Linked DNA regions of Notamacropus eugenii. The protein of the gene in region 3 interacts with the protein of the main gene of each other region in a pairwise test. Links are inferred from orthologs where the notes say so. Each region holds a gene or a part of one and is shown on either strand. Other genes may lie near its edges.

The links.
Region 1: the proteins of kxDL motif-containing protein 1-like (region 3) and MAP1LC3A interact in binary tests that used the Homo sapiens proteins (3 or more experiments, as listed by UniProt). The two-hybrid records come from large-scale screens. The link is inferred for Notamacropus eugenii from reciprocal best matches to the Homo sapiens genes KXD1 and MAP1LC3A.
Region 2: the proteins of kxDL motif-containing protein 1-like (region 3) and LRRC45 interact in binary tests that used the Homo sapiens proteins (3 or more experiments, as listed by UniProt). The two-hybrid records come from large-scale screens. The link is inferred for Notamacropus eugenii from reciprocal best matches to the Homo sapiens genes KXD1 and LRRC45.

What each region holds. Positions count from the first base shown.
Region 1 is NC_092872.1:418,664,464-418,674,776, reverse strand, and holds MAP1LC3A (microtubule-associated protein 1 light chain 3 alpha), read right to left. Parts: upstream 4,702-10,313; 5' UTR 3,597-4,701; coding exon 3,557-3,596; intron 2,889-3,556; coding exon 2,833-2,888; intron 2,763-2,832; coding exon 2,656-2,762; intron 1,897-2,655; coding exon 1,734-1,896; 3' UTR 1,065-1,733; downstream 1-1,064. Other genes in the region: DYNLRB1 (dynein light chain roadblock-type 1), read right to left, coding at 7,770-7,813. UniProt on the Homo sapiens protein: Ubiquitin-like modifier involved in formation of autophagosomal vacuoles (autophagosomes). While LC3s are involved in elongation of the phagophore membrane, the GABARAP/GATE-16 subfamily is essential for a later stage in autophagosome maturation.
Region 2 is NC_092873.1:326,373,894-326,383,687, reverse strand, and holds the start of LRRC45 (leucine-rich repeat-containing protein 45), read right to left. Parts: upstream 4,615-9,794; 5' UTR 4,574-4,614; coding exon of another isoform or gene 4,427-4,573; intron 4,057-4,426; exon of another isoform or gene 3,967-4,056; intron 3,879-3,966; coding exon of another isoform or gene 3,692-3,878; intron 2,641-3,691; exon of another isoform or gene 2,531-2,640; 5' UTR 2,476-2,530; coding exon 2,244-2,475; intron 1,518-2,243; coding exon 1,456-1,517; intron 900-1,455; coding exon 829-899; intron 659-828; coding exon 480-658; intron 1-479. Other genes in the region: CENPX (centromere protein X), read left to right, coding at 3,692-3,878, 4,427-4,573, 4,615-4,874. UniProt on the Homo sapiens protein: Component of the proteinaceous fiber-like linker between two centrioles, required for centrosome cohesion.
Region 3 is NC_092874.1:283,500,870-283,510,813, reverse strand, and holds the start of kxDL motif-containing protein 1-like, read left to right. Parts: upstream 1-5,608; coding exon 5,609-5,660; intron 5,661-9,944.

The DNA of each region.
Region 1 (10,313 bases), on a different chromosome or scaffold from region 3:
CTACATCCCCTTCCCTTGCCCTTAAGCCTGGACAGCCCCTTTCCCTATGAACCTAAAAGTCAGGCAGAGCCTTGGTGTGTTGTTGATGCTGAATAAATGTCTTTTTCGTAGTGAATACTGATTCTCTATGGAAATGAAAAAGGGGTGGGGAAAGCTAACCCTATGAACCTAAAAGTCAGGCAGAGCCTTGGTGTGTTGTTGATGCTGAATAAATGTCTTTTTCGTAGTGAATACTGATTCTCTATGGAAATGAAAAAGGGGTGGGGAAAGCTAACCTGGGAGGGAGAGATTGAGATGAGGGTGTTCTCAAGTGAGATACAGACCTAGGCTCTGTTGGTGCTACTCCAGTGCATTTATCTGCCCTTGGACCTGGGATGGAGGCCCTTCTGTTACGTAATTAATTGCCCTGGGCTGTGGTGCTTGAGGCCCAGGACCTCAGGGCTGCGTGCAGGGGAAAAGATACCAACGGTAGAAAAGGTTTCTTGTGTCATTTTGCCTCCTCCCCAGCCATCCCTCCTTTCCTTTTGGGATAGAGGTTAAAAATCAGCCCTTATGTGTGTGTAAAACTTAAAAATTTATAACATAGAACTTTATGTGCATAGGCATGTCTCTCTTGAACAGGCTTTGCCACAAGTCCAGGGAGGATGTTCACATTCCATACACTAATTGGTCTTATTATGGAAGGTGCTTTGGGACTCAGAGGCCCATCAGAGCCAAGACTGACTACTGGAGAAATGCCTATTTGAGGGTAACCATGAGTGCTGGCTGAACTATAATGAGATATGGTTTCTCATGTGGCACCAAAAAGTCCTGCCTTGGAGCAGCAACCAGGGCCCCCTCTGAAGGACACGTTTGGACATGGAAATGGTCTTTCATTTGTCTTAAAAAAAAAAAAATCAAGTTTCCTGATTAAAGTAGCAGAAGGATACCAGCCTGAGTCAGTAACTTACTGTAGCCTGTAGTTCTGGAGAGGAGAAGGGGCCTAGCATCTCATCTGCATTTTGTGTCCAGAAGGACCAGGCTGTGCTGCTGTGAGAGGCAGAGAGGGAACACTGGCCCAGAGCTGGGTAGGACTTGAATTTCTCTTTATTTATACATAGTAATGGTAGCTCAAATAGGCTGGTCCTCCAGGACACTGTGGTACATAACATGGAAGGAACAGCAGGCAGGGTTGTGGTCGCAGGGGGAAAGCTCAGTCCTTGGAGTGGCTGCCAGCACAGGATGGGTCCAGACTGCATGCAATAAAGACAGGAGGGACAGGTGCCTAAAAAAAAAAAAACAAAACAGACCAGAGCCAAGGCAGGGCCAAGGCCACAGGTGCCCACCCCCCTACCCCCTCCCAACTTTCAACAGGGGCCACCTTCAGAACTGGGAGGGGGCAGCCATATATAGCTATATCTGTATTTTCATCCCCCCACCTAGACACACAGACAGACAGAGCGGCCCCCAAGGCTCTAGCATCTGGGGGTAGCACCGAGAGTTGATATGTGTACAGAGTTGGGATAGATGAAAATTCCTTGTTGACACAGGATGTCTTCTGCTTCAGCCCTGGGTGGGCAAAGTCCTTTGTTTGGCATTGATCTAAGCCAACCACTCCTGCTTTGGGTCCTGGGGAAGGGGCCCAGAGAGGGGGTAGTTAGAGGCAGCTTTATAGTTCTGGAGTAGGGGGCTGGGCTGCCCCCCTCCCCAGCTGCTATCTTCCCAGGGCCAGGATACTCCCTGCCCCTTTTTGCTCAGTAGCCAAAGGTCTCCTGGGAGGCATAAACCATGTAGAGGAAGCCATCTTCATCCTTCTCCTGCTCATAGATCTCCGAGATGGGTGTGGAGACGCTCACCATGCTGTGCTGGTTCACCAGCAGGAAGAAGGCCTGAGTGGGGTTAAGTTGGAGTCTGCGGCTGCATAGGGGAGAGGAGGATCGGGGGAGTCTGTTGGAAAGGCAACAAGACCCTCCAACTCCCAGCTCTGGGCCCTGACACTGGAGTTGGAGGGAATCTCTGAGCTCTCTAGTCCAACCCCTCTCCCCACTTCCTGACAACATCTCTGAGAAGAGTCATCCATCCATCCTGCCCAGTGGGAGGTCCCAGAGTCGTCCTGCCTCTTATTGGATGGTTTCGGGTTTAGGCAGTTTCTACTGACCCAAGCTGTGCCTCCTTCCATATCCTTATTCCCACCTCCTGTCTCCCACCCTTGAAGGCTCAGGGCCAATCCCTCTTCCACATGGCAGCTCTTCTAATACAAGAAGATAGCTATCATGTCTTCCCTAACTTCTACAAGCTAAAACATAAACTTACTTCCTTTCAGTAATTCTCACAGGGCATGAATTCTACTTCCTTTCCATCCTAAACACTATCCGGTGGATTGATTTGAGTTGTCAATGACCCTCCTTAAGCACGGTCCCAGAATTAAATGCTGTATTCTAGATGTCAGCTGACCAGGGCAGAGGCAGAACGAGGGAACCTTCTCTCCCCCTCTCCCCCACGTCGTAGACACCACCTCTATTTCACGATGCCTGGAATGGCACCAGCTTTCACGGCTGGGACTGTCAAGCCTGGGGTCAGATTCCCGAGGCACTGCCCTGGTCGGGTGCTTTCCAGCCCAGACCAGGGGGAGGTGAGTGGCTGGAGGGAGTGGGAGTTGGGGTGTGCCTCACTTACCGGATGATCTTCACTAATTCACTCATGTTGACATGGTCAGGGACAAGGAACTTGGTCTTGTCCAGGACAGGCAGCTGCTTTTCCCCTTTGTATCGCTCGATGATCACCTAGCGAACAGGCATGGGTAAGAGGAAGCGGGGGGCGGGCCCTTGGGGCGGCCCGGGCCCCGGCACTCACCGGTATCTTACTGGGGTGCTGCTCGCGGATCTGCTGCACTTCCTTGCATCTGTCGGCTGCAAAGCAAAGGGAGGCGGGGGTGAGGCCCGGCCCCGGGCCGCAGCGGCGGACCGTAAACAAGGAGGCGGCGGCTCCCACCCACGCGTCCGCCCCACTTCACCAGCCTGGCCTGGACCCAGCTCAGGGGGCCCCTCCGAGCACGAGCACCGCCCCCGGGTAGACAGCCAGGGCCGCGGCCCGAACCGAGACTCAGGCTACCCGGAGACCTCAGCCATCCACCCAGCCAAACTCCATGCCCGGGTCCAGGGCTCCCCCGGCCTGGCTGGGAAAGGTCGCTGCGGACGGTCGGGCTGGGGTGGGGCGGGGGGACGCGGGACCCTCCCTGGCCCCGAGCCAGCCCCCTCCCCCGCCCTGGACACTCGGAGTAAACACTCCAGGGCTGCGGGGGAGGGGCCTCGTCTGTCTCCTCCCCCCAGGCCCCTTAAAGGGCAAACTCGGGGTGGGGGAGGGCGGACCCGTCCGGGAGGCCGTCCCTGGACCTCTCGAAGTGGAGCGACCCCAGAATCGCCCTCCTGCAATGGGACCCTGCGGGTATCTGCGTGACGCCACGCGTGCCCATGACATCATCGGCCGTGGGCTCTTCCCCCGCCGGCAGGTCCCGGGACGTCTCGCAGAGTCCCGGTCGGATCCCACAGCCCCCCGCCCTACCCCGCCCTGGCCTCACCGAAGCTTCGCCGCTGCTTGAAGGGCCGGTCGGAGGGCATCGCGCCGGGGTCCTGGGTCGGGCAGGGGTGGGCTGGGGCGGGAAGGGAAGTTCAGGGTCAGGGATCCAGCTGTCGCCGCTGCCGCTCTGGTTCTCCGTCGCGCGCGCTCGGGCTCGTTCTGCTTCTCAAACCCGAGCAGCTGCTGCTCCGAGGAGATGGTAACTCGGTTCGGTGACGTCACTTCACAACATTCCTTAAAGGGGAGGCTGGCCTTGCCCTGCCATTGGGCCGACGAAAAAGCCACCCCATCCTCCCACTGACCCCGTGACGCACAGGCAGCTCGGGCCAGGAATGGAGGCCTGAGGAGGCGGGGCTCCCGAGGAGACATCGCCTGCCTGGTCGCTGCCATGACAACCGGTAGCCGCGCATCTCCGCTCTGGACCGCGACGTCGCATGCCCCGCCCCCTCAGGGTCTAAGTTGGGGCCCCCATTCCGGGCCGGGACTGGCGGGGCGTGCCCGGGCCTTCAGCCGCCGGCCGGGCCGGCAGCAGTACGGACGAGGCCTGCAGCCAGAGGTGCCGGCTCTGCCCCACGGCAGGCTCCGTAGGCGGGGTCCCCACGGCCCCCCAGTCATGCGTTCCCCAGGAGACACAGCCCTGGTTTCGAGAAGAGGGATCCCAATGGCAAGGAGTGGGCCAGGATGTCTAGGTCTTTCCAGAGACACTCAGGACTTGGAGCCGGAGGGCGCTCGGGGCCCATCTAGTCCAACGGAGGAGGCACATGCCAACTTGCCAGGCTCTGCCCCTGGCACTCAGTGACTTAGCAGTACCAAAGTACGACCCAAAAACTACATCTTCTGGCTCTTTCCAATATACGTCACTCCCAACTCATATTGGGTAAGTCCCAGGACTTTTCTGGGCCTCAGTTCCCCCACCCAGGTAGTTGAATTAGGTGATGTACAAAGCCTCTCCTAGATTACTTATTGTTCGGCCTGGTTTCACGAGCGCAAGGTTCGGAATTCTGAGGACTCCTCCAAGTACGTTCATTGCTCCTGTTTGCAGAACGACTTATTACCTGAACTTCACAGACAGCCCCCCATCCCCCCTTCCTTTTCTTTAATTAAATTAGAAAGCATTTAATACTTAATAAAAGCAAAAACATGGCTCGAAATCTTGCCAGGGTTTGTGACAGGAAGAGGGGAGGGAGTGAGTGAGATGATTTTCAGACGCTGATGTTTGAGAGGAAAATGTCAAAATATAAAATTCACGATGAGGGCTTGTTTAAATGCCGTCTGGTTTCAGGGGAAAGGCTACCAAGCAGTTTCTGTCTTCCAGAAGGGCAGAGGGAGTGAGGAGAGAAGCTGCTGATGGAACAAATGATTAACCCTTCCCGTCACCCCTGCCTGTAGCTACTCCTTTAACTCCCCTCTTGCCTTACTAAAAACTAGGGAGTTTTGGAGATTTGTAAAGAAAAACGTGTTCTTGGTCTTCCTCTCAGAATGCCAAAAGAGGTATGGTCAGGAGACAAACGATATACCAGTCATTGGCTTTACCCTGCAGTGGAGTGCAGGAAGCCTGGGTCCCAGTGCTGGTCCTGCTTCAAAGGGGTGGTTTCCTCAGTAAAAGCAGCTTTTCAGATTCTAGGATTCTAGAGAGTTGCTTCCTTTTTTGATTTATGATCAGGATGTCAGTCCTAGTTTCTGCTCAGTGCCTTGAAGCGGACTGCACAAAATGAATTCTGCCTCTAATGACTAGGAGAGAATTATTGAAGTATTTGCAAAGAACACACAAGGATGATGTAGATAACCAAATTTGAAAGAAGCAATTTAAACTGAGGCTCTTCCACTGACACACAAAGGCCTGCCTGGTTCCTTGAAATCTTGGGATGAGAAAGTTTCTTCAGCAGTCCCAGCAAGTGACTTAGGTACCCAGGGAGCTTCGACTCATTTCTGTATGGAACTCAAAAAAGTGGCTATGGATACTTTTCAGTGGAGGAGAAGGGAAGAGAGTCTGGTATCTGGTGTCCAGGAGGTGTCAAGGGTATCTCTCCTATGTTCAGGTTACAGCTAAGCTACAAGATGTCCCACTGGGGGAGGCAAAGGATGGAGGCAGTTGAAAGATGGCAGCATTGGGGCTCAAGGGACCATCACAAAACCCTACCCTACCCACAGTGCCAGGGTAGGGGCCCATGTCCTTTTATAAAGGCAGGAAATCACTCAGTATATGCCAGACCTCAAGGCTGCCTTGGCCTCACTATCCTCCTCTACACCTGATGCACAGGAAGTTGGTGTTGGCCCTTACATGCCAGGTGTTAGTTAAAAGTGGTGTTTGCACCCTCATGCCACACAAACACCTTATTTCATGTGATGTTTCTGAGAAATGGAAAATAGGCTGTTCCAGAAAAAGTAATTTTCTGGTAAAATTCTCTGGGTTATCCCCCAAACCCCTTTTAATAGTAAAGCCTTTCTGCTGAAAAATCTTCAGAAAATGTCTAAAATCATTTTCTCTACAAAATAGCCTCTTATGTGGTCCCCATACCCTGGTCTCTTCCCACCCAAGCTTCAGAAGCTATCCCTCCTTTCCCTGCTCAAAAGCCTTCAATAACTCCTTTTGGCCCCCAGTCAAAGTACATCATCCTCAGTCTGCCTGGAATTTAGAGGCCTCTACACTCAGAGTCCTACCTACCTTTCTAGGCTTAGTTGGCCCTCTTCCACTAGAAATTTTCTTCAAGGTTCAACTTAAATGCTACCTCGCCCCTCAGAGGTACTTTTGTGCATCCAGCAACCTTGACTTCAGAATTCCATGCTCTTCATTGTCTTTGTGCCCCCAGAGTGCTCAGGACCTGTGACTTTATAAAGTATAAGTAGTTCCTGATAAGGAATACAGAAAGAAAGTAACATCCAGTCTGTTTCCTGGGGTGGTGAGTGGTTAAGTGATCTGTCCAGGGGAGTATGTATGAGGTAGGACCTGAATCCAGGTTTTCCTCACAGATTAGTCTGCATGATGCAACACCAGCTCCCACACAGTAAATACTTAGTGAATAACCCTTTAATTGGTCAGGAGCATCTCAGGGACCCAAAGGAATCTTTCTTTGTAGGGAATCCCCCAGGGCCTCACGACATCAGTTAATTTTTCTTTTCGTCTTTTCCCCAAACATGGAAAGTGCTGCTGAAATGCTCATAGAAAGGTGTCTTCTAAGCTGGGGTAGAGCTGATCATGCTTCTTCCACAGGCTTCCCTCCTGGTCCTCGGGCCACCCCTTCAGACTCCTCCTCATTTTTCAGGGTCACTTCCCCAAATCCTTTGCAGGTCCCTCCCTCTGCTCTACTACTATGGGCCTGTGAAACTTGGTCAGTCTCTGTGCTGGAACAAGAGCAGTGCCCAATGGGGCTCTAAGTCTCCCCAGACCCACTGAGTGTGGCTGCAATGTAAAGATGGATGGTTTCACATTCCCACCAGTACCTGTCCTCTGGATGTTCATCCCCTTCAAATCCCTTGGAGAGGCCACACCCTCAGATCTCACCCCTCCCCCCACAAGCTGCCATTTAATTCACAGGCTGACTCCTCTACTAGGTCTTGGGATCATAGATTTGGAGGTGAAGGCCCTCTGAAGGTTATCTAGGTCAACTCATTTTGCTGAAGAAATTGAGGTCAAGAGAAGGGAAATGACTTGCCCATGACTACAAAGAACTCAGCTCTTCTAACTCTAATGTACTTTTCCCTAGATCCCCTGCTGCCTGCTTTGTCCTCACAGATCCAGGTTCCAGATCTCAACCCCCACCCTGCAATAACTCATGAGCAGACCTTCCCACCAGGGCATTTAAAGATACAACAAAAGAACAATCGTTACAGTTATTTTTAGTTCCTTTTAAAACAGCAACAAAATTAAAACCAGAAGCCTAGAGCCTGGATTGGGAGGAGGGAAGGCCTGGCCAAAGGGGAGCTCAGACCTTAGGGTGTGGGTACCAGCCCAGGCCATTAAATTTGTCTCCAAGGGCTTTCTTCCTGATGACTGAAGGCTACAGTTGCAGCCTCAGAAGATTCTAGATGGATAAAAGGTTAAGAAAATCAATTTGGGCCCCGCCCTGGGTCACATGATCTCTGCAAATCCAGTCTGACATCATCATTGTTTTCCACATGCCATTCAGTGGTGAGAGGGAATCAACAGGAATGCTTTCTTTCAGGGAGACTATTAAATTAAAGAAAAAAAAATATGGCATCTCGAATATGGCAAATTATTCTGTTGGATTTTGGATCACAATCAGGAAATAATCTTTATCTGCAAAAAGAAGAAAAGACATATGTCACACACTGATTGCTGACTCCAAGTCCAGGCTCTGCCACAAATTTGCTCTGTGGCCTTGGACAAGTACTTTGATTTCCCTAAGCCTCAGTGTTACAGGAGTGATGGAATTAGAAAATCAGAATGGGACAGATCCAGGCCAACCCACACCTGGAAAATAATTCCCACTACAACAGATCCAATGAGACAATTTGGCCTTTCCTCAAAACCTCCAGGAAGGGGATCCCACTACCTTCAAAGGCACCCCACTGCACAGTTCCCCTTCGCTGGGGAAGGGAGGGTATCCCAAGGGATGGCAGGGCTATTGTTGCTTTACTCCTGAATGTGACCCCTCTCTTTATTCTGACAAACACTGCCTTAGCCTTCTTGGATACATCATCCTACGGACTCATATACAGAGTTTGCAGTCCACTAAAAGCCACCGATCTTTTTTGGATGAAACACTGTCTAACCAAGCCTCCCTTCATTTGTACTTGTGAGGTTAATTTTTAAAATCCAAGTGTCAGACCTCACATTCATCCCTATGAAAATTCTTATTATTCAATTCAGCTCAACATTTTAGCCCATCAATATCTTTTAAAATTCTGTTTCTGTCATTCAATATATTAGCTATCCATCCCCTACCCTAGATTTGTATTATCTGCAAATCTGATAAGGATGCTATTTTGCCCTTATCTAAATTATTGATTAAAGAATAGGGAGATTCAAATTCTGGTTTGAAGCATCTTTGTTTCCCCTAAGGCAACCTTGGAAATAGCCATTTGCCCAGACTGGGGGCAAGAATATGTGTGGTAGAAGAAAATGCAGACATCTTTTACACCATGGGGAGGATAGGCTGGTCACAAACTGTATGGACTCCTCAGTTCCTCGAAGGCAAAGGACAGGGTCTTCTTCATCTCAGCCTGAATCTCCAGTGCTTAATCCAAGGCCTCTCATATAGTAAATCTTGACTAAAAGTTTATTGAAATGAAAAAAGCATGTAATGGCATTTCAAGTGTAAAAAATTCAGCCTCTTCATCCAAATTACTGCAAAAGAGCAAGTGTATTCGATCCAAGTTAGCCCTCTTGCCCATGAATTTATCTTTTGTATTTGTTTGGAACATATCTTGTGTAGACTTCCTTGTGAAAGTGTCCAGGGAAGAGACTGTCATTTCTGTAGTGGTGTCTCTACCATCTGTTACAGTGCAATATACCTAACTGATGCTTAATAAATTCATGCTGATAGACTGAAATATAGTTCTTGTTCCTGTTTCTGTACTTATGAGAAATGATTATTAATAACCAATAATTTGCAGAGAGCCAGTTTCCCCATTTTTTAAGTCTTCATTTGGCAGTTCTGTCTCTGAAGGACACAACTGATGATAATAGATGGGATTAACATTATCCTCAATCTAGGGATTGCTACCTCACCCAATTTTACTAGGAATTTAATCTGAGGTGAAATTGGTCCATGATGTTTTACTCAGGCTTGGGTGGGGGATATAGATCCTTTGTCTAGATTCCCTGAGGCTGGGGTTGGTTTGGGAGTAAGAGTGACATAATCAAAGTCACATTGTCCCAAGTCAACCATTAGAATAAATCTACCTCATTAACTGTTAACCAATCAGAATTGATAGCCATCCTCAGGAACATTCACTCTTCCAAAGGCACATAAACTGTGAAGTTCCCCTCCCCCCATGTGTCATCTTTGGGCTAAGAGAGTAAGCCAAATGACCATCCCTTTTATTGATAATATACTAGCACTATTAATAAAATATTTATTACCTAGAAACTATGTCCATCAAACTTTTGTGACTGACTCATTAACAATGTAGACCAAAGGCATCAAACTCAAAACTCCAACCAGATTAAAATGTTACTGGGAGATGTTTAACAAAATACATAAAAATTCAATACAGCATAGATTATGCTAATTTCTATTTGAGATGGTGTAATGCTAATGAGTTAAAAGATCTTCCCCACCCATTAATGGGCCTGCCCATTAAGAGAAGTTTGATTGGGGGAGATTTTTTTTGTTGGAAGGCCAGCACCTTTTGTTATTTCTAATGAGGCACTGGTTCTCAAGGCTTGTGATGCCCTCTGGCTCTGAAAAGTGTATATATATACTCTGAGGTGAGGTTTGACTTTGGGGCTTAGTTTTTGGAAGAAGGTTTGTATGCCAGATGAGACTATGGGAAGCTGATAAGGAGCTCTACCCCCACCCCTCAACCCAGATGTTGGTGCTTCTCTCTGGTAACTATGTATGTATGTAACTGTGATGTATGTATTGCTTATGGTCAGACAGTTGGAAGCCCTTTCTGTTGATCTTATTTCTCTGTTTGTATTTTGTCTGAAGTTCAGGGTGTTCACTTTTCCCTTGAACTAAGTGAAGGATATATGTGCTTAATTAAAGTGATTGCTGACCCCTCAAAAGTTGCTTTCCTTTTAGAAAAGCAGATCTAAGAACCTGTACAGCAGACCCTTCTGTGTATGTTGG
Region 2 (9,794 bases), on a different chromosome or scaffold from region 3:
ACAATAGGTGAAGGAGAGATGACAAAATGCTTAGTGGTCTGGTTATGGAGAGGGATGCTAACTTGTACAAGTATAGCAACAGTGTAGGGAACATAAGGTAGTTCCCTCAGGTGGTTCAGTGGATAGAAGGGTAGGCCTGGAGCCAGAAAGATGAGTTCAAATCTGACTTCAGACACTTATCAATGTGCGACCCAGAGACCCTGCTTGCCTTAGTTTCCTATCTATCACAAGGGGATAATAATAGCCTCCTAGATTTGTTGGACGATCAAATGAGATGGGATTTGTAAAGCGCTTTGGCAAAACTTTAAAAGTGCTATAAGAAATGCAGCTATTATTATCATTGTTCATTTTCCGAATAGTGTCCCAAGTTCCCTTTGCACATGAAGCACAGACTAGCTCCATGGCCAGGGGAAATAAAGAAAGACAACTCTCCCCTGCTGCTGGGTCTGTAGGGTCAGGCCTGGATGGAACTTCCTTACCTATGTCTAGGAGAGTGGAATTGTTTTTCAAGGCCATGACCAGCTCTTCTGCCCCCTTGTGGTTGATCTGGTTGTTTCGGAGGTCTAGTTGCTGCAGAGTGGTATTGGCCCCAAGCCCCTCACAGAAGAGAGAAAAACTTTCTTCCCACATCCCCAGGTTGTTCCACTCTAGAATAAGGCTGCGAAAAAAGTCATCATCAAGGCTGAAGAAGCCTGACATAGAAAAGCAATTTGTACCCATGAAGCCTCATGGAAATAAATAGGAAAATGGTTTGGGAGCTTTTCCCTCTAAGGAGCATCCTTGAGCCATGTTGACAAGGAGGGAGTGGGCAGGGGGTCACTCTCTTACCTTTGAATGGATTTGTTTTGTCGGAGGAGTTTACCCAAAGCCTCAGCCCCTATAGCTCGAAGGTTATTACCCTAGGACAGATGAATGGTTAGTCATTCACCCTCCTGAAGGCTGGACTCTCAATGTGACAGCCTTACCTTCTGAGTGAGCCTATCTGTGTGCTCTGCCCTGCTATGAGGTGAAATTGGAGCTAGACTGACCCTTAGGTATAGTTCCCTAAGACACTGAAGAAAGCAGTTAGGGACTGCCTTTTTAAAAAAGATATGTTTTCCTCAAAGTTGGCATCACATCATTCCCTCATGGGACTCAATGCCACTCAATAATTCATTCATTCAATACTATATATTAAGCACTGTAGGAGATATATGATCTCTACCTTTGAGTCTAAGAATTTTTATGAATTCAAGATATATGTCTATATCACAATTAGACAAATGATTCTGACTAGGCCACTCCAACAATATTGCTGTAACTGTCCAAACTCAGGGAAATCTAAGCATCTGAGATGCTTCCATAGGACACCAGAAACTACTCCACAATAAACATTTATCAATCCCCATTTTCCCCTCTATTCTCCCCATGGCTCTTTGGGTCTGGTGTTACTGTGAGATGTTTCCGTTTGCTCACCTTTAAATCCAGGTATCTGACTACTGTATTTGAACAAAGTCCTTGTATGAGCAGTTTGGATCCTGTAAGAGAAAAAGAGTTATTTTTTTTCTTGGAATACAAGGTTCCCTGGGTCATCTCTTTATACTCTCCTTTGCCTATCTGCAGGCAGCTACTCACTCAGGAAAAGATATTTTTTTTTTTCAGTTTGGTCACGATCATAGCAACAAAATGCTACTCCAACTCACTTCAATCAGCTAGCCAAACTGACTACCAGGTTAGGTTGAGACTTGTAGGAAATCTCCCACTGATAATAAGAAATTATATTTATACAATATCTTAAAGTCTAAAATGCATTTTCTCAAGCTGAAATCATGCCTACTCAGGAAAGGTTGCCAGATTTCAATCAAGGAAACTGATGTTCATGGAGGTGAATTGTTATCACACAAAAAGTTTATTTCTAAGCCAACACAGAGTCTGGCTGTTGTGGAAATCTAGGTCTATAGAGAAATATTTAGCCTCAAGTCCCTTGTAGAAGAGGGAAAAACTTTCTTCCCAACCCTCTAGGCTTTTCCACTCTAGAATGAGGCTAGGAGAAGAGACACCACTAGAGCGGAAGGAGACTTAGAGGATTGGGCTTCTGAGTGGGAACCTTAGTAGTTTGTGTTCAATAAATGAAATGCTGATGGAGGTTTCAGAAAATCTACATATCTGAACCCAGGACTGGGACAAGGAGTTCAGAACTACCCAAGCCCAAACAGCAGCCAGAGGTTTTAGAATCTGACCAAGTGCCCAGAACCATCATTCACCTTCTTCACTCATCATGCAGTCACTTAGAAGGACCACTGAAAATAGGATGTCATTTTGCAGGAGCTTCCCCAGAGCTCCACAGGTGTCAATAGACAAGCTCTGGGTGGCCAGGTCTAGCTTGCTCTTGTGATGACCCTCCCGCAAATCATGCAGCTGCTTGAGGACCACTTCCTGAGGCTCAGCGCCACTGTCCTTACACAGTCGGCAATAGGAACGGCGGAACTCCTCCATTGTCCCAGGAAAATTATAGGGGCTTCCTCAGGATGTTCTTTATAGTCCAACTTTTCTGTGGAGAAATTCCAGAATGAGAGAACTAGCCTCACAAGTTATGAGGCGATCAACTCCATCCTTGGGAGAGCTGCATGATGTTCCTGAGCCAAGCTGCTTTCACCATTGCTAACAAGATATACACGGATAAATAAAACACAGATTAGGATATGACAAATGCATAAAAGGACTATAAAGTGCTATGAGATTGGATGATGGATAACAGTACAGTTTCTAACAATTCACTTTAAGACTAGATATGGGAGATACTGTCTCACAAGATGAGGGATGCAGGATGAAATTAGAAAAAGCAGGGCAAGTGCTGCAAAATCATTAGGTCCTTCTTCCTCTTTCCTCTTTTCCTTCCCCTCTTCCCCCCAAAAATGCCAGTTCAGTTATTGTGGTAGATAAGGACAGGATGGGCAGAGGAATTAGGGAGGAGACATGTAGGAGATCTACATAAAATGAAGATCCTAGGTATGAGGGCTGTGTCATGTTGGAGGTTCCCTTGTTTACTGGGATGATTCCCAGGGTAAGTAGAAAGTAAGGCCCCAAAGAAGTTTAAGAACATAATGCAGTCCTAAGCATATTAGAAAATCAACCCATCACCATCAATTTTGATTACCATCTTCCTTCATACCCCACTGGAGATAAACTAGAACCCTGAACCCAAGAGCCTTGGGAATAACAGTGCCTCCCAAACCACCAGACCTGCTTCCAGCCCAGCTCCTGCAGCTATCACTAAGGGGAGAAATCCCTGCGGAGAGAGGGACCACCTTTCTCGTCACTACCAGCAATAATTGTTAACTACCACCAACAGGCAGATGAGCACAAGAGCCCTAGGAGTAACAACAGGCCCCAAGCCCACCAGTCCAGCTTTCAGCCTACCCCCCTCTCACAGCATTTGTATAGGGAAGCAACTTCTTGTGGAGAAGGGACCAGCCATCCTTAACCAACTTTCACCCAGCTGCCACACACAAGGTCAGGCAAACTAGCCCAGCTGGAGTAGCAAGGCATCCTGAGAAAGAGATAGGAAACAGGCATGGGCTAGGCAGGTCAAATTCCACCCCCATCTTGGCCACCCTCTGCCCTTGAACCCTGATGCAGACAGCCTTGGGAGCAGCAATGCTTCCAAGATTCTGAACCTAAAAGTCTCGGGAGTCCCGTCACCCTGGAAAGCATGCCCTGTGGAGATGCAGCCTGGCAACTGCTCCTGCAGACCCAGAAAACAAAGTTCTGCCCCGGAGTCCTTGGCACTGTCAAACGGTACCACACAGGAACCGCTGTGATCTTATCAGTGGCCATAACGTTAAAGAAGGGGCATTGCCATCTGCCGTCTCAGCACCCTGAAACCTCCCACGTGTGCGGTTAGACTGATCTCCTTGAGTGCAGGAGGGTCTTACTTTTCTACCTCCAGTGCTTAGCACACAGTAAGTGTTTTAATAAAATACTTACAAACTGCATTTTGTCTCCGTGAGAGAGCGGTATGCTGGGGAGGACCGTATCTCAGGTCCTCATGTTAGCCATGGGGACAGTGAGTGGGGTGGAATGTGGATGGGGGACTCTATGGGGGGTCCTCTAGAAAAGTTCATCAACCAGGGCAGTGTTTGGTGGGGTCCGTGTACAGGAAAGAGAGTGCAGAGAGGGGCAGTGTATTAAGGAGGTGGAGGAGGTAGAGGCGGAGAAGTGAATGGGGAGGAGATAACGTGAAGAGGGCAGTATAGGAGGGAAGGGGCGACGATGGGGGAAGGGTAGTGGGGTCGAGGGTACTGTCTGGGGAGGGGACAGTGGCGGAGTGGGGGCGGATGACGTGCTGTCCCCCCTCCCACAAGGTGTATCCTGGTTACAGGGTAAAAGGTAGACATTGGTAGTGGGGTCGCATCTACTTCATCCCCCCCCCCCCCCACCCTCACAGGCGTGGGTTCGAGGACATCTCCCCCAGCTACACTCCGACTCCAGCACCCGCATTCGCGGGTGGGGGGGGGGGAGGTGTGGGGGGTGGGAAGCGCCACCTCACTCACCGGCCGCCGCCCGCAGCGCCTCAGTAACCAGGAAGTGCGAGGTACGCTGGGAAAGGTAGTTCAGCCTGAAGCCTGGAGGCAGCAGGAACTACAAGTCCCAGGAACCCTCACGAGGCCTTCTCTAGGAGGAGTCCCGTGGCGGGCGGCCGAAAGAGGAGAGAGCACGCATGCGTTAACGTCCGTAGTAGTAGAGGTGGGAGCTGGAGCGGCAAGCTGCGGCGCCGCGGCCTCTTCCCGCGGCCGCTTCTCATTGGCTGGTACGAGACCTCCGGGGCGGGGTCTCCGAACTCTTCGAGGGCCTCTGCGGCTGAGATGGAGGAAGAAGGTCCTAGCTTTAGGAAGGTAGGGGCTGGTCTGTGCTCGGGGAGCGGGCGCCCCGCGGAGGCCGCGGAGCCAGGCCGGGACGGGGAGCGCCTGGGTCTGGGAAGTGCGCGGGAGAGAGGACCTCTTGGGAAATAAGAGAAAAAGTGGTGCTCTTCCTCCAGGGCGCGTCCCACCCCGCCGGGACCGGCCGTGGGATCCGAGGCCGAGTCCGCTCTGGCTTTGAACCCCTCCCGAGTCTTCTCAGACCTGACGGCCCCCCCGGGCCAGCGACACTGGCTCCTTGCTGTGGCTCGCACGGGACACTCCCATTTCCCGACTCCGAGCCTTTTCCCTGCTTGTTCCCCGGTCCTTGCACGCTCCGTCTCTTGGCCTTCCTGGCCAGATCTCACCAACAGAAAGCCTTTTTCCTTTGTCCTCCTTCTGTGGATTATCCCAGTTTATTTTGTTTCTACATAATTGTTTGCATGTCGTCTCCCCCTTTAAACTGTGGGCTCCTTGATGATCTGACTCTTGATGACCCTGTTTGGGGTTTTCTTGGCAAAGATCCTGGAGTGGTTTGCCATTTCTTTCTCCAGCTCATTTTACAGATAAGGAAACTGAGGCAAACAATGACTTGCCCAGGGTCACACAGCCAGGGATTGTCTGAGCCCGGATTTGAACTCAGGGAGATGAGTCTACCAGACTCCAGACCCTGAACTCTAACCACTGTACCACCTAGCTGCCCCTCTAGCACACAGTAAAGCCCTTAATAAATGCTTGTTTCCTGAAAGGACATGAGAAAAAATAGGCTCTGCATAGTTACTAGAATGCTAAATGGTGTCAGGAACAATTGAGATCCTATCCTGCCTTTGTAGCTTTATGACCTGGAGCAAGTCATTCAGCCTCTGTGACACTTAGTTTCCTCCTCTGAAAAATGAAGATAAAACCTTCAGTATCTACTTCAATTATGATATTCAAATGAGACCATGTATATGCGAGATAGCAAATGTAAAGTGCTTTGTAAGCTTTAAAATGACATTTTTATAAAGTGTCTGCTAGACATATACCCAAAGGAGGTCATTGATTTTTAAAAACAGGAAGAAAGGCTTTATAGTAGCACTTTTTGTGGTAGCAAAGAACTGGAAACAGACTAGATACCTGTTGATTGGGGACTGCTAAACAAATTGAAGGAAATGAATATGATGTAATATTACTGTTCTTTAATAAACATTGAATTAGAGAATCAAAGAATTTTACAAAGAATGCAAATTGCAGAAAATACAAAAGACTTAACTGATGCAGAGTGAAATAAGCAAAGCTTATCTGTGTGTGTGTGTGTAAAATAATAGAAAATGAATGTTGAGAAATGACGAAGCACACACTTGGCCTCAAAGAAGAAACATGAGAACAATTTATAATACAATGGAGGGCATGAAGGAGGCAAAGAAAAGTACCAAATATTCTACGACTATTTAAGAAAGAAACAACTCACCTGGGGCTATCAGAGAAGGTTACCTGAAGGAGGAAGCTCTTTGGTTGAGCCTTGAAGGAAGTCCAGCATTCTAGGCTATGGATGAGGGATTGTATTCTACACTTGGGGGTTGAGGGACAGCCTTTGCAAAGATGCTCAGTGGGTTGGAACCAGATTGTGGAGGACCTTAAACTTCAGACTAAGGAATTTGTATTTGATCTACTTTGGCAATAAGAGGGCACTGATGATTTTTGATCAGTGGAGTGACATAGTTAGACCTGTGCTTTAGGAAAATTATTTCATCAGCCATGTGAACTAGAGACTGATTAGGGACTGTTGAAATAGTCTAATTGGTGATGGCATTAAATTGGGGTTTTTATAGTCACTGGAGATGTTCAAGCAGAATCAGAATCAGCTGGATTTGGCAACTGATTGTATGTAGGTGAGAAGGAGGGAGAGAGAAAGAAGAGACTAGGATGACTATGACATGTGAACACAGGTATCTGGGAGGATTGTGGTTTCTTCAGCAGAATTAGGGAACATCAGAGAGGAGCAACTAGGTGACTCAGTAGATAGAGTGCTGGGCCCGGAGGCAGGAAGACTCATCTTGAATTCAAATCTGGCCTCAGATACTTACCAGCTATATGACCCTGGGCAAGTCATTTAACCCTGTTTACCTCAGTTTCCTCATCTGTAAAATGAGCTGGAGAAGGAAATGGCAAACCACTCCAGTATCTTTGCCAAGAAACCCCAAATGGGGTCATAAAAAGTCAGACATGACTGAGAAACGACTGAAAAACAACAAAGAGAGAGGTAGTTGGAAAGGAGAAAATGAATTCATTTTTGGACATTTGACTTTGAGGTGCTTATGGGATGTGTACGTAGAAAGAAAGAAGCTAGAAGGCAGTTGAAAATGCAAAACTGAATGTATAGATCCGAGTCACTAGAAGTCCTACTGTGAAACCTCTCTGTGTTGTGAAGGTGACTGTAGGTTCTCAAAACCTAAGCCAGAAGAGTTAAGATCTACCTCATATTCTGGAAAGATGTCGAGTTCAGTCCTGGCATGGAGTAGACTGTTTTTTGATGACCAGCTTAAATGGTATAGCCACTCACTGATGACTACTGCAGCTGATGAAACTAAGAAAAGTACAAAATGGTCCTTTTAGACTGGGAGGTCCCCTTCTGCTTCTGCAAAGACAAGGCAGAATTACATAGTTTTAAAGACAGTCTATGAAGATTAACTTAACTGTTGGTACCTTAAAAGTGAGATCAATGAATCATATTGATCTTGACATTTTTCTCTGTGAACAGAAACAGAAGAAAATTTGTTTAATTGTGTGTACCAAGACAACATGAAATATCATTTCATGGGACATTTGATTTTCTGGTATCTCACTGTGCAAGAGGACCATTGTGAACATATGTAGTTAGGCAACATCAGTTGTAGAGGAGGGTGAGATAAAATCTGAAGAACTCCATTAGGGCCTCCAAATTAAAACAACATACAATATGATACTTGATGACTCTGGTGTTAACACGGGCATAAACAAGAGTGGCCAAAAAAAAAAAAAGTTGGAAAATATGGTTCAGGAGTAAGAAATGAAAGAAACTAAAGCCAGAATCACAGAATTTTAAAGTTGGAATGTTTTCATAGTCATTCTCTAGTCCAAAACATACCTGAAAAGGAATTTTTGCTTATAATGTACTGGACAAATGCTCTTCTAGTGACTGCCTGAAAATTATCTCCATTGAGGGGACACTTACTGCCTACAAGCATGTTCAGACCTACCTGTCCTTAGAAAACCCCACCTTGACTCTGCCTTCCCTTAAGCTATTATCATATATCTCTCCCATCTTTTACTGCCAAGTTCTTAGAAAGAATCATCTACATCAGGGCTCCTTAAACTTTTCTACTTGCGACCCCTTGCTTCTTAAACTGTGAATCTTGACCCCACTTTTGAATACCAGTGATATCAAACTCAAAGAGAAATGGGCCACTAGACAGTAAATAAGGATCTCTGTTATGTTGATTTAGAAGACCCAACATTATCTGTGTTCTTTTATATTTTTATTTATCTTGTTAAGTATTTCCCAATTACATTTTAATGTGGTTCTGTCCACATTCCAGAGTGTTACAGCCTCCTCCATCTACTCACTTCTCAATCCCTTACAGTTCCATTTCATAAATCACTAATCAGCCAAAACTGCTCCCTAAATAATTATCAGTTATCTCTAAACTACCAAATCTAATAGGCTTTTCTCAGTTCTCATTCTCTTAGATCACGCCTTCCTTCTGGAGCTCTTTCTGCCCTTGGCTACCATGATTGTTCTCTCCTAGTTTTCTTCCTATCTCAGTCTTTTTCACCTGGATCATCATTTATTCTTTCGTTCTATGTCTCCTTTGTGCATCCTCTTTTTTCATCCTCATTCTTCCAGCTCTCAACAGGTCCCATGAACTAAGCTATTATCTCTTTGCATATGCCCCCCAAATCTATTATATCCAGTCCTAACCTTGGGCCTGCACTACAACTGCCTATTATATAGCTTCTCTGAATGCCTTTTAGGCATATCAAACTCTATTGGTCAACAGAATTCTTTATCTCCCCATTTTTGTTGATCATCCTAATAGTCTTCCATATTTACAACCTCAGAGTGATCTTAGACTCTTCCCTTTTCCATTTCTCTCACCTCCAACCAATTAGGTAGCAAGTCTTATTGACTATATCACTTCAACATCTACTTGACCTCTCCCTTTATATGTATGTCTTCCCTAGACATACATAACGCTGTTTTCCTTCTCTTTCTCCAACTAATCTTTATTTTCCACAGTTGGATCATCATCTATTTCCTGCTACTCTAAGCAAGAAGGTATTTTTCCCCCTGGCCCCGGCTACCTTGGGCCTCTTGTCTTCTCTCTCAACATTGTCTCTCTTGGTGATTTCATTTGTTCCTATGGCCTCTGTGCTGATGACTCCTAAAATTTCTCCTTATATATATCCATCTCTAATATCTCTCTCAAACTTGAGACCTTCAACTGATACCAACAAACTGATGTATCATAGGCATCTCAAACTCAACATGTCTAAAATGGAACTCTAAATTTCTCTATTTCTTGGGGCATAGGGGTGGGTGGGTGAGTTGGAGAGGCTACATTAAGTGTGTACAGTGAAGAGACTACTGGTTCTGGAGGCAGAAGATCTGGGTTCAGATCCTACCTCTGATGCTACCAGTGTATCTGGACAAATCATTTAACCTCCCTGGGCCTCAGTTTCCTCATCTGTAAAATGAGTGATTTGTTGAACTACATGGCTTATTTTAAGTGCTTCTCAGCTCCAGATCTATTATCTTATATTTTTAGTTAACCAGATTGGCAACTTTAGAATCATCAAAGTCTCTTCCTCCTCCCTCCCTCCTAAACTAAATCACAACATCTCATGCAGCTGTCTCCTCTCCATTCACACAGCCACTCTACTGAGCCTTTATCGCTT
Region 3 (9,944 bases):
ACACTTACCAGCTGTGTGACCCTGGTCAAACCATTTAACCTGTTTGTCTCAGTTTTCTCATCTGTAAAATGAGCTGAAGAAGGAAATGACAAACCACTGCAGTGTATCTCTGCCAAGAAAACCCTAAATGGGGTTACAAAGAATCACACACAGCTGAGAAATGACTGAAAAACAGCCACATAGTAACATATTACCTTGGGAAACTCATTTACCTCTCTTGACTTCAATTTACTAATCTGTGAAAGGAAAGGGGAGGGTTAGATCAGAAGTTCCTAACGTTTTTTTCTGGCAGCCTGGTGAAACCTATGGATGAGCACCTTCTTAGAATGGCATATAAAATAAAATATATTACAAAGTAATATATTTGAATACATTATATTGAAAAAGCTATCAAATAACTGATCCAAGTCCATGGATGTCTTGGGGGTCCATGTATCCCAGATTAAGAAGCCCTGGACCAGACAATCTTAAAGTCCCTTCCCTTTATAAGGCTATGATTCATATGTTGAAATTCATCCCTTCATTGTCTGGATGGACGGGGGAGTCATCAGTGAGAGGAGGAAAAAGCACATGTAACTTTAAAGTCTTATTCCTAGCCTCACCACCAAAAAAAAAAGAGGAAAGAAAGCAAGAAATCAAACCACTCTATCATCTTGATATAATAGAAACAACCCTAGTTAGAGAGTAAGAACTCCTAGATTCTAATTTCTAGCAACTCTGTGAATTGTTACTCGTGTGACCTTCAGCAAGTCCCAGCATCCCCTGGGTCCATTTTTTCATGTAAAATGGTGGAGCTGGACCCGGCTGTCTTGAAAGACTTTAAATTCTCTGCTTTCCTAGTTCATCCTTAGACGCTATCAGCTTCAGAGGCACCTGACTGAAAGGGCATTCCTTGTTGCAGAAGAACTCCACACTTTTATTCAAGGCCGGTGGCCTGTTTTTTAAAAACCAAAATCGATACTTTAACCGAAATATTTTTTTTCTGCCACAAGCCAGCAAAATTACTTAATTGATCTTTGTTACCCCTATATTTGTCTTTGAGCCAGAGCATACACATAATGTCCTGTCATGCATTTGAACAGAATCCAGGGTCTGGAAATAAAGGTGAAAAACTGCTGGTGCCATTATTTGGATTTTAAGAGGTCCAATTTTCTTGCTTATTTTGCTGAAGTGAAGAATAAATAATGCATTTTACCTTGGGGGGGAAAAATCAAAGCATTTATTACAGGTAGGTAGCACTCTGTGAAGGGAATGGAGAAAAACAGAGCATTGATTGAAGTTAATTTTGCATCCTTGGGTAAAGACATGTCCTCCTACTGTCATTGTTTGGATTATATACTGCCATCTCCCTCCTCAAATTGCCTTGTTCGTACTTACCTGTGTGTGAGAAAAGAGGTGTTCTGGTCATCATCATCACCTCCAGTCTCCTTCGGAGGAGTAAGCTCCTTGCGGGCTGGGAATGGTTTCTATTTTTCCTGTTGTAGCCTCGTTGTACCTTACACATATGACCACGTTTAGTAAATACTTATTGAATTCATTTGAATTTTACCAGGTATCCCAAGAAGTACTAGCTTCAAACTGCTCTGTGATTTGGGGCATACCCTGAATATATTCATTATATAACAACCAATTTATAAGCATTTATTAAGGTCCCCTCTCCCCACAGCACTGTAATACAAACACAAAATGAGAAAACAGTTCATGGAGCTAACATTCTTTCAAGTGAGAGAATAGGTGCCCCACAGAACCATAGTGAAAGGGGCCTTAAATCTCCTCATTTTACAGATGGGTAAACTGAGGCCCAGAACTAGGAAGTGATTATCCCAAGGTCACAAGACAGTGTCACAAGCAAGATCTGAATTTAGCTCCTCAGTGCACAGGTGTGCCACCACACTCAACTCATCTGCACTGCTTGCCATGATGCACACATATAAACACAAGCGAAGTTAATATGTCTTCCAGCATAAGCAGTTTCACTGATGTGCAAACCTAATGGTATTTGAATCCAAAAAATATTAGTGCTTTCATCAGCACAGGGCTGGAAATTTCTTCTACCAACATCACAACTACTCTGTCTCTCAGTAGCAAGATCCTAGGAAATTGTCCAAAGCTCAGACTTTTACATGACTTGCTCAGGGTCACACAACTGCCAGAGGTCAAATTTGAACCCATGGCTTTTCTGATTCTAGCTCACTGTCTCAACACTCTCCTTAATATCCCCATGATATTTTGTTTCTTTTCCTCAGTATCATTAAGTCTTCTTGGTACCTGATGCAGCTAGCAACATGAAGTTAGAGAATCTTTGGTGCAGAATGATGAATCAGTGAAGAAGCACTTATTTTAGTACTATAATGTGCAAGATACTGGGGGTATAGTCCCTGTCCTCAGAGAGTTCAGTTCTATGGCATGGGGGCACAACAAATGCTTAAATAATTCTTTATACACACACACACACACACACACACACACACACACATATACAATGAAACGTTGATGGAGGAAGTAGAAGCTGGTTGGGGAGCATATGATATAAAACAGTATTGGTCAGAAGATCAAGTTAGGATTGTGTACTAGCCATAAGCTTCTGTGAAAGGCTCCTTCACCAGGAAAAGCCTCAGTTTCCTTGCATGTGAAACTGGGAAAATGATTCTCATACCAGTCATACCTTACTTGTAAAAAGGTTGTGAAGAAGGAACTTAGAATGCTATGTAACTGTGAGTTATTATATGAATGAGAGTGATGAGGATGATTATAATGTAAATAGGAGCCATTCTGTTTCAGAACAATGTGGCTTTCCCTGAATCTATTCAGAATACACGGAAGTTAATTAGCTCCCGGTGGCCCTTACTTCTCAAAGAGCAGGGATTATATAACTCAGTTTTGCCTTTGCCAAGTGACTGCTAATATTAGATGCTGCATTTCTGGGCTTGATAGAGCAGTCTGCAAACTTTTTGTCTCACAGCTCCTTTATACTGTTAAATCAAGAACTCCCCCTCCCTTAAAATCTTTTGTTTATGTACGTTAAATATTTACCGTATTAGAAATTAATATGCCTGGGCATTATTACGAAAATAATTTTGGCCCCCTTGACTCCAAGAAAGGGTCTCAGAGACCCCCAGGAGTCCCCTGACCACACTTTGAGAATTGCTAACTTAGAACCCTGAAAGCGGATGGGAACTTTTTGGTTGCTATGCACCCAGATCCCATTCAGTTCAACAAAACAAACATTTCCTGTGTGTATTCAATTGTGTCCATTTCTTTGTGACCCCATTTTGAATTTTCTTGGCAAAGACACTAGAGTGATTTGCCATTTCCTTCTCCAGCTCATTTCATAGAAGAGGAACTGAGGCAAAAAGGATTAAGTGACATCCCCAGGGTTATAGAGCTAGTAAGTATCTGAGGTCACATTTGAACTCAGGTCTTGCAGACTCCATACCCTGCCCAGGACTCTTATCTCTAGCTACTACACTAAGTAACTAAATAAGCTCTACACTAGATGTGAGGAGCGGCACAATGACAAGTAAGACTTGTGCCCTCCCCTCAGCAGGTTTATAATCCAGTAGGGATCTGTACAAAAGTCAAGCAACCAGTATTTGTTTTTTCTTTTTTCTTTATTTTGCATACAGAATCATAGTGTGAGGATTAGAAAGGGTGTTGATGATCATCTAGTTCAATCCATATACATAAGTAATCTCCACCATCACCTTCCCAGTTAGCAGGCCCTGCCGGGACCTGGTTAGATGCGAAAGATACAAAGTGAGGAGATTACAGCAGAGCTGCATGAAACAATCTGTAGAATTTAGAAATGAGATGGTAGAGTGAACAGAGTACTGGTCAGGAAGACCTCAGTGCAAATTTGATCTCAAATATTTACTAGTTGTATGACCCTGTGCAAGTCACTTCACCTCTGTTTGTCTCAGTTTCCTCACCTGTAAAATGGGGACAATAACCTCTACCTCCCAGGTTGTTGTGAAGGCTAATTTAAATAAATTCATAAAACTCTTTGAAAATCTTAAAGCAAATATCTGCAAAATAAATCTAGGTAATTTTGTGAAAGGGCAGGTAGAGGGCACCATAGTGCACAGAGCACCAGGGCTGGAGTAGGGAAGACTCAACTTCCTGAGTTCAAATCCAGCCTCAGACACTTACTAGCTGTGTGACCTTGGACAAGTCACTTCATTCTGCCTCAGTTTCCTCATCTGTCAAATGATCAGGAGAAGGACATGGCAAACCACTCCAGGATCTTTGCCAAGAAAATCCCAGATGGGGTCACGGAGAGTCGGACAGGACTGAACAAGAACAAAGTAATTTTGTGGGGGAGAATCAACAAAGGTCTCCTGGACAAAGCAGCGCTTGAGGTCATAGGAACGAGGAGATGCTAAGAGGCAGGTATGAGCAGGCGGGGAGTTCTAGGTGGGGACAAAGGCAAAGAGAGGGGAGATAAACCCCATTCGGGAGAAAAAGCAAATTCAGTTTGGCTGGAAAAAAATGTGAAAGGAAGATGATACCTAACGAAGCCAGAAAACCAAACTGACCCAAGTAGTAAGGGCTTTTAAACAACAAATAAATATCAGCATAGGAGAAGGTAAAATATGAAAGAATGTGAGAGACAGAAAAGTGTATCCATTTTCATTTCTGGCTTGGGTATGAGAAAAAGCTGGGTGGAGATCATGGAGGGTTTAGTGAAACTTGAAACATTTGAGCTGACTTTGTAGAAAAATTAGACCTTGTAGACAATAACAGTGTTTCTGGTGGGGGGTACATCATGGGCAAAGGCATGGAGGCAGGAATGTGCAGAATATTTTGAATAGTAAAGAGAGTGATTTGGCTGTAGTTCAGGGAACACTGAAGGAAAAGAGTATTAAAAAAAGACTTAAAATGACATTGCTGCCTGCCTTTTGTGACTAGAAACAAAAGAGAATTTTTAAAACAAAAGCAAGATATCAAGCTACTTTTAGAGACATTTGCCACTCAAAGAAGTTCACTCATAAGAGTGATTAATTCAGTCCAACAAATGTTTTTTCATTGCACTTACCATTAAATTGTGAGCTCCTTTAGAGCAGGAAGTATTTTTTTTTTTTGTCTCTTTTTGCATCCCCAGCATTTAGCACAATGCCTCACAGATGGTAGGTGCTTAAAAAATGTCTATTCACTAACTGATGCATTAAGACACTATGACTAATTTGGGAGATACAAAGATAAGAATAAAGTGAGCCCTGCCCCCAAGGAGCTTAATGTCTACTAAAAGAAGTCAGGAATCCAACCAGGCTTAAGGGATGATTAATCTTTAACTTTTCCTCCTCTACTGATTTGGTTTTATTGATTTTGTTTTTAGAAATGTGCTATTTTTTAAATACATTTTCCTTGAGGAAAGAATCAGTGACCATTGGTGAACATCAAATAACACCATAAAATGAAATAGTATGAGTTTTTCAAACAGAAAGAATTTTTCCAACATATTGTTGCTATGATAGCTATCTTCATACAGTTAGACCAGAGTTATATCTGAACTAGTTTTTTTAAAAGAATGAGAAAAATATATGGCATACATCTGAAATAACTTAATCCTGAACTGTTCAAACAAGTAACCAATGATCAGAAATAGGAAATGGACAACAGAAAAGACAACGACTTTGACTATGATGATGTTATTCTGAAGGGTAACCAGTGTACACCAAGGGCATGAAGAGAGTTCAGAAAGTGCCTAAATCAGCAGATATCTGACTTATTTGCTAAATAGTGAGAGATGGCTGCCAAAGGCAATGTTAGATTACAATATAAACCCATTTATAAAATCTTGTGGATAAGGATGATGGATGATTATGAGCAGTATTGTCTCATAAATTAAGGAAGCAAGCAGTAAGGCAAAAATCAGTTTAAAGGAAGCTTGGGAAAACATTCAACTAAAGAAACTCATCCCAAGGACATTCCAAAAGGGAAGAAGGATTGCAAGAAGAAAATGGGAAAGCTTTGTAAAAATCCTTATAACTAATGATTTCTTCATTAAGGACAGTGAAACAACCATATTTGGACCCTAGCACCACAGTGTGCTTACAGAAAAGGTGGAAATGGCACTAAAGAGCAAAAATACAAGGAAAGCGTCTAGATTAGATACTATTTATACATGAAAGAGATCTGTTTTGTAATCTCCACCGTGGTAAATGCACTGAAGGATTGATGTACTAGGCATCGGAAGAAGGGAAAAATGCCAGTGATGGAAAAAATCTTGGACCTTATTAATATAAAAAATGCAACTGAGAGAACATCAGTAACTACCAGCTTTAATTCCTATTCTCCCATTATGAGAGTCTTATATACACCAATAAAGAACATCCTCAATGGTCGTTATTACTATTAGCTTCTAGTTGCCAGGTCTGCTACCTGGTGATGACTTCATGCCCTGGGCCTTCTACTCCACTCTAGTTAAGTGCAAATAATGTTTATAGAGCAATATAAGGGAGTGACAGCAAATGTTTAACAACCAGACTCTCTAGGGGGAAATGTATGCATACACATTTAAGTCTGATCTGTGTTATTAACCCTTTCTTAAGTCTGAACAATCCACGAAACAGTAAAGCAAACCTAGATTTGTGGTGGTTGCAGATGATCATACAGAGCTCACTTTAGCACACCCCAGAGCACAGGTTTATTGCATTTGTGAGATTTTCCTTGTTGGATAACTGCTGGAATCAATACCAGGTTCTTAATCAAAAGTTTCTTTAGAATCATGCAATAATGGCGTTAAAAAGGACATCAGAGACCTTTGGAACCAACTCCATGACATTCCCAGGATTTAGCTTTTAGTTTCTATCTTGAAACTATGCCTTTGGGTCTAGGACCTGGGTCTCTCTGTCCCTTTGAGAGGGACCTCACACTAAGTTAATGTTCCTGTTCTCTTTGCCTCTCTATTTGTCTCCCACAGTGAGATGATAGAGCTTATACATAATTAGCTTCTGTTTTTACAGCTACCCACCCAACAAAATTGTCAGAACTTTCCAGGGGTTTGTTGGAGGCAGCTGTAACTGGCTTGTGAGCGTCCATTGTTAAATGATCATCTTGAGCATTTATACCTTAGAAAGGAGCAATTAGGGGCAGCCACATGGCATAATGAATAGAGTACCATCCCTGGAGTCAAGAGGACCTGAGTTCAAATTTGACTTACTAGCTGCGTGACCTTGGGCAAGTCATTTAACCCCATTGCCTAGGGAGAAAGAAAAAAATCAGCAATTGCCACAAATCAGAGCCAACTTCATGGTTTTGTAGATTTATAGACTTAAGAAAATGTTAATAATACAAATTAAACGTATAAGCATATGTGCATACGTGTCCTTATCCAGTAGTTAAACATTTACCAGCACACCCCTTTACTACTCCATAAACATTGCTTAAATTGAGTAGGACAGTGGAAGGCTTAGGAAATACACATCACAAGACTGGAGACCAGGTGATTGGAGGCTAATAACAATAATCATGGCTGGCATTATGTAGAATTTTAAGGTTTGAAAAGATCTTTCCATCCATCATCTCACTTGAGTCTCATGACAGCCCTGGGGCTGTTGGGTCTCCCGGTTTTTGAGCTCTCCCACACAGATTGGTGGATGGAGACCAAGTCTTACTCTTTCCCTCTGTAGCCAACTTAAGATGAGGGGCAAGGAAGGTCATTGTCTTCCCCCTTGGTCATATCTTGCCTTTATTTAGACCATGGAGGAAACATCAGAACTGACCAGGAAGTAAAATGATGAAATTTAATCCATGACAAGCCATCCATCCAGTTACTGAATACCAAATCTTTTCTGGAATGTTGTTTTTAAAAATTTCTAGACACTTGCCTTAATCCTCAACAGAAGCAAGTATGTCCTCACCCTTCCATTACCTTCCATTTCTAAGGTACAAGTATTGGGCATACTTATGTGAGTATATGTGCACATATTGTCTCATCTGACAGAATAGAAGCTCCTTGAGGACAGGAAATGGTTCTCTAGAGCCTCATACAGTATCTGGCACATGGTAGATCTTTAAAAAATGAGCGATGGATTTTATTATTAACTTACTTGAAAAAATTAAACTAGTTCTTTGATCTTAGAATTAAAGTCCTTTAAAGAATTAAAGGACTAGGTGACTCTTCTGATAAGATGGATTCATTCATTAATTCATTCAATACACATGGCATGATGAACCTGTGACTCTTGGGACACAGAAGCCATCTCAAAATTTCCCTCCTTCTTATATGAAACCACAGATAGACCACTCATCACTTTGCCCCTCTGTGGTCAAAAATTATGTCAGCTAAGAGAATGTCACTGAACTGGAGGATGCAAGCTATTTATTTCTGTCTTAGATGAGACAAATCACTTGTGTCATTCACCCTAATTAACATTAGGGTGATCATGAGATTAATATTAGGGTGATCATGAGAAAAAGAATCATTGACTTCTAAAAAATAAGTATGAAAAGCTCTCATAATGCCAAGTAGAACTGTTTTTGGTGGGGGCAGAGGGGGTGCCAAACCACTGATGAGGCTCTCCTCTCGATCTAAAACACTCAAGGCATAGTTCATTGTAAAGACAGCTGGTCGTGGAGTCAAACAGACCTGAGCATGAATCTTGCCTCAGACATGTTCTAACTGTGTGGCCCTGGGCAAGTCATTTAACTTTAATAAGTGACTTAGACTAAATGACTTCTGAGTCCCTTTCAGCTTTAAATCTATGAACTGATGAATTTAGTGCTGGTTTTGCCACTTGCTTCCTGTAGGATGCTGGCCAAGTGAATTCACCATTCTGAACCCCAGCTTCCTAAGCTGTTAAAAGGAGATGGGACACAATAGTATCAGCACTAACTACAGCACAGGACTGTTATGGGGATCAAAGGAGAAGGTCTTTGAAGTTGTTTGTAAGTTCTAAAATGCTCCATCAATTTCATAGCTCACCCTATCCCATTTCTCCCAAAATCTATCCTGTCAGTCAGTCAGTCTGTTAATAAGCATTGATTAAGTGGTTACTCTTGCTGGGCTCTGTGCTAAATCCCCGACCTTAAAAACAAATGCAAAAACATAGCTTCTGCCCTCAGGAAATGCACATTCTAATGTGGGGAGGGAGTAACATGCAAATAACTGTGCACATCCAAGACATTTGCTGAGGGAAGGTACTACCAGGGAGACAGAGAAAAGGGAAGACTGGAAAGGTCTCCCATGGACAAGGAATTTGAGCTAAATCATGATAAGCCTGGGAAACCAGGAGGCAGAGGGGAGGAGGGACAGAAAGGGAAAAGACACAGAAGGGAGATGGAATTTTCTTATGAGTGAGAAATAGTAAGAAGGCCAGTGTCAATGGATAGAAAAAAAAATGGGAAATCACCAAGTTATGAAGAAACCTAAAAGCTGAAAAAGGTAAAAAAAAGTCCCTGCTCTCAAAGAGTTCGCAACTGAATGGGAGAGACAACATACAAACAACTATGTACAAAAATATATACACAGAATAAAACTGGAGAATATTCACTAGGAGATGATGATCGACGGTGTCAGATTACAGAGATATCCAGAAGGATGGGGGTTAAGGAGAAGTCATTAGATTTAGCAGTTAAGAGATTAGTAACCTTAGAGAGGGTAATTTTAGTTGAATGATGGAGCTGGAAGCCAGATGACAGAGAGCTCAGAATCAAGAGAAGGCGGAGTAAGCAGAGACACCAGCCTCCACTAATAGAGGTTAGTCACCTCTGGGTTAGTCACACAAAGTGCAGAAGAGATACAGGATGAAGGAGAGCAGGCATGGTCAGATTAAGGGATGATTTTTTTTCTTTTTGAAAGGAGGAGGCATGGACATATTTGTAGGCTGTACAGAAGATAGGGAGAGATTGGATAGTAGTGAGAGTGGGTATAGTAGAGAGACAATCTGCTGAAGAAGACAGGATAGAATGGGATCAAGAACATGTCTTGGGGGAAAGGAGGG